Daphnia pulex: one gene and its partner. The protein of the gene in region 1 purifies or fractionates together with the protein of each later gene. This does not show direct contact. Links are inferred from orthologs where the notes say so. Each region holds a gene or a part of one and is shown in the gene's direction. Other genes may lie near its edges. The genes, in order: derlin-1-like and E3 ubiquitin-protein ligase TM129-like.

Evidence for each region.
Region 2: the proteins of derlin-1-like (region 1) and E3 ubiquitin-protein ligase TM129-like purify together in Homo sapiens (affinity purification with western blotting; 3 studies listed by BioGRID). This does not show direct contact. The link is inferred for Daphnia pulex from reciprocal best matches to the Homo sapiens genes DERL1 and TMEM129.

Annotation. Positions count from the first base shown.
Region 1 is NC_060018.1:4,694,086-4,697,606, reverse strand, and holds derlin-1-like, read left to right. Parts: upstream 1-1,484; 5' UTR 1,485-1,600; coding exon 1,601-1,753; intron 1,754-1,818; coding exon 1,819-2,022; intron 2,023-2,107; coding exon 2,108-2,256; intron 2,257-2,313; coding exon 2,314-2,424; intron 2,425-2,483; coding exon 2,484-2,631; 3' UTR 2,632-2,772; downstream 2,773-3,521. Other genes in the region: dnaJ homolog dnj-5-like, read left to right, coding at 1-328, 389-520, 608-712; MPN domain-containing protein-like, read right to left, coding at 2,876-3,142, 3,212-3,521. UniProt on the Homo sapiens protein: Functional component of endoplasmic reticulum-associated degradation (ERAD) for misfolded lumenal proteins. Forms homotetramers which encircle a large channel traversing the endoplasmic reticulum (ER) membrane.
Region 2 is NC_060024.1:10,070,056-10,073,913, forward strand, and holds E3 ubiquitin-protein ligase TM129-like, read left to right. Parts: upstream 1-1,518; 5' UTR 1,519-1,706; coding exon 1,707-2,143; intron 2,144-2,226; coding exon 2,227-2,536; intron 2,537-2,604; coding exon 2,605-2,676; intron 2,677-2,735; coding exon 2,736-2,875; intron 2,876-2,935; coding exon 2,936-3,062; 3' UTR 3,063-3,114; downstream 3,115-3,858. Other genes in the region: nucleolar protein 14-like, read right to left, coding at 3,424-3,520, 3,585-3,740, 3,796-3,858.

The DNA of each region.
Region 1 (3,521 bases):
CTCCGACGAAGAGATTCGACGTTACTACAAGCGACAAGCTGTTTTAGTTCACCCAGATAAAAATCGACAACGGGGAGCTGAAGAGGCCTTCAAAATCTTAGCGCATGCCTTTGAATTGGTTGGTCAGCCAGAGCGACGCAGCCACTACGACCAATTAGTACAAGAAGCAGACGAGATGGAATCTGCTTGGGCCGAGCTCAACGAGCTACTCTCACGGTTGCATGCCAAAATGGACGAGGCCGCAAACACGATTCGGTGCACCAATTGTGCCAAGCGTCACAGAAGAGTGAAAACTAATCGGCCTTGCTATGCTGCTCGATATTGTCAGGTACATGTAAAGTGCGAAAATAAAAAATTTCCTTTTTTCATTCATTTTGTTTTTTAATAGGATTGCAAAATTCATCATTCCGCCCGCGAAGGGGACCTATGGGCTGAATCACGATACATGGGCTTTCGTTCTAAATACTACGCTTGCATGGAAGGTGCCGTTTATGATATCACAGAATGGGCAAATTGTCAGGTATTTTACTTCGTTTGTTCTATGTCTTGATTGTTGATTAAATTAGTATTAGGTCTTGTCTAAATGGAATAAATTTTTTAAATTTAGGCTGGACATCTTCGTCATTTGCAATCTAATTCTCATCGCGTTCAGTACCGTATAGTTCCCGGCCAAGGGCAACCGAGCAGTGGAGGTGGCCGTAAATCAAGTTGATTCTAATAAACGCCTTATTGTCTTCAAAATTATGACATTGATCATTTTTGTTGTTGTTGATTTCTATTGCTAAAGTGTCCTATCGGGTGATTTGTAACTAATACCTTTGGTGCCTTTTTTTTTCAAACAATTTTGCTTTGTCTGGTATTTGGAAATTTTCTTTTGTCGTAGAATCTCGTAACGAGGTCCCCCCCCCCCTCCCCAATGATTTGTTCCTTCCTTCCCAGTTTAATACACATGGTAACTTATCTGTGTTGCCATCAGATTAAGCATGTGTTGAGAATTTGTACAGTTTAATAAGGAAAGTTTTTGTCGACAACCCGGTATCATACGATTCCTTTGCGTGGTAAAATAGTTATTCTTCTTTTTTTCCCTTTAAAATTAATATGATTAGTTTTTATTCGACTCGTTGCAGGATGCATTTCGAATCTGGAATCTGTCTTCTACCACACATTTGCTTTCCTGCCTTTAGAAACACAAATTATGAGGAAAAACAGTCATACTCATAACGCTAATCGTTTTAAGGATTTTCTTTATCGTTGGTAGTGTATTAACTGTTTCGGTTCAACTGCGCCGAGCACTAAGGTCTTGGCGAATTAATTTTATTGAATAGAAATCAATAGTCCTATCATCATTCTAATTATACTAACCTTTTTTTTTTATTTTTATTTTATTCTTTTCCATTGGTGATTCATAGATGGCATTGGAGGGGATGACTGTGCGATTTGATTTTGGGTTTTGGCCTTGTTTTGTATTTATCCTCTAATGACACGTAAGTGTTCGTCTGCTTCGATTTGATCTTGACTTGAATTCGATTGAGATACACATTGTTCTTTGATACATTTCCTTTCAGATAATTTGGAAAAGTGGCTTGAAACCTTTTTAAAGATGAGTGAGCTAAGCAGCTGGTTCAAAAATTTGCCTATTTTCACAAGGCATTGGTTCGGACTAACTATTGCGTTGTCACTAGTTGGCAGATTTGCCATTTTGAGTCCAAAATATCTTATCTTGGATTACCATTCTATATTTGAATCATTCCATGTAATATGTTGTAGTTGAATATTTTAGAAAACATCATTCTTATTCTTAAATTGATTGTTCAATAGATATGGAGACCAGCAACAGCATTATTTTATTATCCAATAACACCAAAAACAGGATTTCACTTTCTCATCAACTTGTATTTCTTGTATAACTATTCTCTTCAACTTGAAACTGGACTGTTCAATGGGCGACAAGCTGACTACTTTTTCATGTTGCTATTCAACTGGATTTGCTGTGTCATAATTGGACTCCTAGCTGATTTTCCTGTAAGTATTTGGTTTCCTGATTCCGACTACATGTTGCTTCCTAAAAGACCTCATAATAACTACAATAACAATAATTTTTTTCTAGTATTTGATGGATCCAATGGTACTGAGTGTACTGTATGTTTGGTGTCAGCTAAATAAGGACACAATTGTCAATTTCTGGTTTGGAACACAGTTCAAGGCAATGTATCTTCCTTGGGTCTTGCTTGGATTTAACTTGATCATTGCTGGAGGGTAAAGAAACTGCAAATAATGTAATTTGTGATATACTAAATTCTTTTACTACAATAGTGGAGTCATGGAACTTGTTGGAATTGTCGTGGGACATTTATACTTTTTCCTCACGATGCAGTATCCTCAAGAATTTGGTGGTCCTTTGCTCTTAACTACTCCGCAATTCCTGTAACACGCCATTTTATTTATTTAACTTTAGCAAATATGTTAAATACTTCGTCTTTCAGATACAAATATTTTCCGAATCAACGAAGCGGAGTACAAGGATTCGGCGCGGCACCTCAACCTAGGGCTGAGTTTAGAGCAGCTGCACAGGATGCAGGTCCTCGACGCTATGACTGGGGACGTGGAAATGTTTTGGGTGGCCAAAACTAGCCTCACAATGGCCAAAATTAAACCCCGATTCTAATGTTTTGATGTGTTTATGTTAAAGAAACGATTATCGTCCCTCCTCCCATCAATTTCTGGAAAATGTATCCCTTTAATCTTAAGAGAAATTTAAATTTACTAAATTTGTCTCACTCTTTTATTCATATGTATTATTTGTACGCATGATTCCCAGATGGCTGGAATTTTGCAAAGAAAAACCTCGATTCATAGATTTCGCGATTTTCTTGTCTCACATACACGAGATTTCTTTTAGGTTGTTTTGGGGTTCAGGGTCTATAGGTTCTGCAGGAGATTTTACGTCGGTGAGATCTGTTTTCGTTTTCACTTTGGTCATGTTGCTGAGTGTGTCAACCAAATCGATAATCACATCATCTTCGCTTTGTAAGCTGGACTTCAAAGTCGCTTTCAACTTATCCAGAATCGTGAGTTCATCAGACCAGTTTTCGTCAAAATTTGTGCGGTCAGGAGAATCACGGTAAAATTTAAGGCAAGCTTCCTAATTTAGCAAAATGTTAAATAAAGATTGGTTGTAATGTCATTAGAGAACTAGTAAAGTTTGCCTTACCAATTTAGGGACTACGTCATCTTTGACGGTGGCGTCATACACAACGTTGTATTGCATGGCCATAGGACGTCCAAGTTCAAGTGGTCGAGATTCGGTAGGAGGAGACACCCAGTAGCACGTCAAGTGAGTGGTCGACGTTGATTGGCTAGGTTCCGCGTGATGGAACGGTGCTGAATAAAAAAGTAAAGTGAACAGGTAATGATAACATATAATAGTAAGGAATATTTCATTACATGAAATCATCGCTACGCAAGGTCGGTAACCTTGATCACCAGTTCCTTTGAGTTTTAATTGATACTCGAGTTGTGAA
Region 2 (3,858 bases), on another chromosome or scaffold:
AGGCAAAAATGATAATCAATGAAAGCAACGAACGCAACGCTTTTCTTCTTTTTTGTCTTTAAAATATACAAAAAGGGGTTCCTGACTAACTGACGTGTACAATTTTCGAATAGTGTTGGTCTGTTAATCAGTGGCTTACCGGTGAATTCAAGCGCCAGCTTTCGAATTAGTTTGCGTTTTTTCTTGGAAAAGGATAGGACGGTACCCAGAAAATCTGAATGGTGTACGTGATGTTTGCGCGGACAGGACTGTGTGGCGCACTCGCTGGGGGTGCCTGTCGGGAAATGACTGGGCCTTAAACCCATGTGTACCCACCTTGCCATATAGATCATATTCGACGGTACTGTAGCCCGTTGAAAGCAGTGTATCTAGCTAGTGGGGTCCGGGATTGTGCATATCAGCACTACTAGATACTCTCTCATATGCTAGTGCGCAAGTCGCCTAGATGAAATTTCGGGGAGGAGACAACACACACACATAAAACCACCCAACTTTTTTTTCCCGTTCTATAATAGTTCATCAGACCGTACCCTAATGCGAGCCATATTTTTCTTTTTTTCGTGAAAAAAGCTTACTGTCATATTCATTTACAGCCATTTTGTTCAGATAAGACTGTTGGCCACTGGCGAGAGTAATATTTTTATTTGTTTAACAAGTCGTCCGCAACTTGTAGCTCGCGTATCGATCTCCATTTCCAATTAATCCACCGCATTCTTTGAGATAAAAATATTGTAGTACGTTCGCTCCAACAACTCTTGACAGTGTTTTCTAGTTGATTTCTGCTTTTTTTGGTAAAAAGGAGGGCAACAAAAAATTCTCAATCTAGATGGAATTTGGAGTGGGATTGATAAGGCCATAGGAAAATAGGCCTACGTGACTGTCATTTGTTCTGCATGAACGCATAAATTATGTATATACAAGATAAGCTTAACGAATATTTTAGATCCATCGTCTAGCAACTGTTACGTAATTCACGAATTCAAATTCATTTCAAACCACGGGAAATGATTGAGCAATCTTACGGTTATCAAAAATGTACCGATGAAAAGAGAGAATTTAAGACGGACATTTTAAACAAAATTAATATTTTAATAATAATTAATAATGACCACTTACGAAAATGTTTTCGGCTGAATCTCAGTCGAGGAGACATAGAGATGAGGGGTAACTCGATCTTTTCTATGATCCGTGGTTGGAGTTCCGGTGGGATTCTTGTAGTCTTTAAACAATGTCCCAATTTGATGGATCGTCCTTTTTTCTTAATTTAATTATTTCCCGATGAACACATCAGAAGTCAGAACCGATCGGTATGAACCGACTGATCTGACTGATATTTCTTTTCAACCAAAGGTCGACTGCTAGCCCTACAGTTGCGCCACGTTTTTATTTACTTAATTTTTTGTTCTGATTATTATCACTAGTTTTTGAAAATTGCAATAAAAGCATTTGGGTGGTGGTCTCGTGTGTGTCCTATCGCCTACGTAAAAACTAAAAATCCAACCCACAACAAAATGTGAACCGAGTAGAGCCGTCTGCTAGTTGGTTTATTTACTCTTTGCTGGTGGCAAGTGATGACGTATTGAGAAATACTCGATCGTATCTCTTTAGTTGTTCATTCTGACTCTAGAATATAAATTATTGTTACTTTTATTTTATTTGAAATTGTCCAACCGGAAAGGGAAACCCTACAAATTTATCGGGAAGCTATGATTGAATTCACGGTTTTCTATTTAATTTTCGTGTTCTGCTTCATTTTCCCTCCAAGTGCGTTTGTTAGTGCCGGCATAACGGTTTCAAATTTATTTGATTCCTGGCTCGGAAGTGAAGACCTTCAGTTTGTGCAGTACCATTTAAGTCGAACATTGGTTACTGTAATCATCCACAGTCTCCTACCACTCGGATTCTTTGGTGGAGTCCTTCTTGTTGAAGGCTATGATCAGCTGTTGTTATTAGTACAAACTCCACTTGGACTAGGATTTCTCAGCTTATCTGTTCTCCTTCCAGCAGCTGCTGCATTCAAAGTATTTTTCTGGTGGACAAACAATTGGAGTTCTCACCCACTTGTAAATTCATTGACCTCTTATGCAAATAATGGGAGACAGTGGAATGATGTAGCATCTGAAATCAATGCTGAATTCAGAAGGTAAATAAATCGTTAGTTATATATCTGTAGTATAAATTAATGTATACATGTTGAAAAACGAGTAAACAGTTGAATTTTAATAGGATAGACAAGGTCACAGTCCGCACCAATCCAGTTTCTAAAACTGTTGTGACCAATTCCTGGATTATCAAAGTTGAACCTTATGTGGTGCAAGTAGCACATCAGAATCATGTAACCTTACAGCTGGAAAATGCTGAAGAACACACATACACTGCTGATAGTCAAACAGCTCAATACTTGTGGGTGAATGTAGAGCACATTCAAACCAAACAAAAATTGTTTACCATTCGTCTCAACGCCGTTGACTATGCAGACATGCAAGACAGACTGCAAACTCGTATCAGTAATGTTCGGGGATTATTAATTAATCAGGTATTCACATAATATTAGGTACGATGTTTCGAACACACATTTTTGATAAAGTTTTTTTTTCCTTTCAGGACGTTCATGCGCGTTTTTCTAAAGTTTTCATTGAAGAAGTTAGCTTGAACCCAGTTTTTCAAAGCCAAGAGGTATTTTTGGTAAAAATATTGATTCTGACATGTAATACAAATTTAAAAAGCAAATTTAGGAAATGGATCCGTGTTTAGGCTGTGCAGTCAACAGTGCAAATATCCGTCTAATACGAAGATGCTTGCCTACCGGAAATGCTGATGGTTGCACTCCGTGTTTTTGTAGACCCATGTGGTGCATACATTGCCTTAGTAAATGGTACGTAACTTCGAAATTTTTAAATCATGTGTCATGTTATTTCATGTGTGTCTTTGATAGGTTCTCCGCCAGACAAGATGCTGAACATCCTGAATCGTGGTTAATGTCTCGCTGCCCCTGCCCAACATGTCGCAGCCCATTTTGCGTTCTCGATGTTAGTTTAGTTGAAACCGTAGAAAATATTTAAGTTGTCTTTTTTTTCAAATCATGTTTCAATAACAATAAATATGTTTGCTTAACTTGGCTGATTATGAGGTACTGTACCGTTGGTTATGAAGGTCACATCCTGGATCACCAGCTTCTGCTCGTCATTATTTGTTTTAACAAACTGATAAACTGTAATCGAGATGTCGTAAGCAATAATCGTATGTTTTACTTTCTGTCCCCTAACTCTCCAACATATCACAGTATTCTATTGCAAACGCCTATCCAATAGATATCGTTATATCTATCCAAAATATCTATAAATCTGAGCCAAGAATTCATATGGATTATAGGAAAAGAAAAAAAAACATTTATTCAAAGAAAATATGTCAAGCAAGTTGAAATTATTTCTTCTTCGGTTTCTTCAGCTTTCGGACTTCTCCTTCCTGGTTAGACAGAGATCCTAGCAATTCCTTAACTTTGCGTTTGCGCTGATTGTCCCTGCAAAATTGAATGGCGAATTAATAACACGTTGCTATACAATAGAAAGTTAATTGCTCCATACTTTTCTATTTGCTCTTTGAGCTTCTCTCTAGCGATGAATGCATTGTCCTTGCGAATTTCTCGTATGGCTCCCTTCATCTCTCGCTTAATCTTGTGTTGCAATTTATCACGTTCCAGCTTTTCTTTTGAACCAACTCTTTTCTTCCGCCCTTCAAAGCTACAAAAAGATTATTAACTTGAGGACTTTTCTTTGAGGTTGAAATGTTTCTTACTGATCATCGATGATCGGTTCATATAACCGCAATGGTTTGGGTTTCTTAGCTTCGTGAACTAAA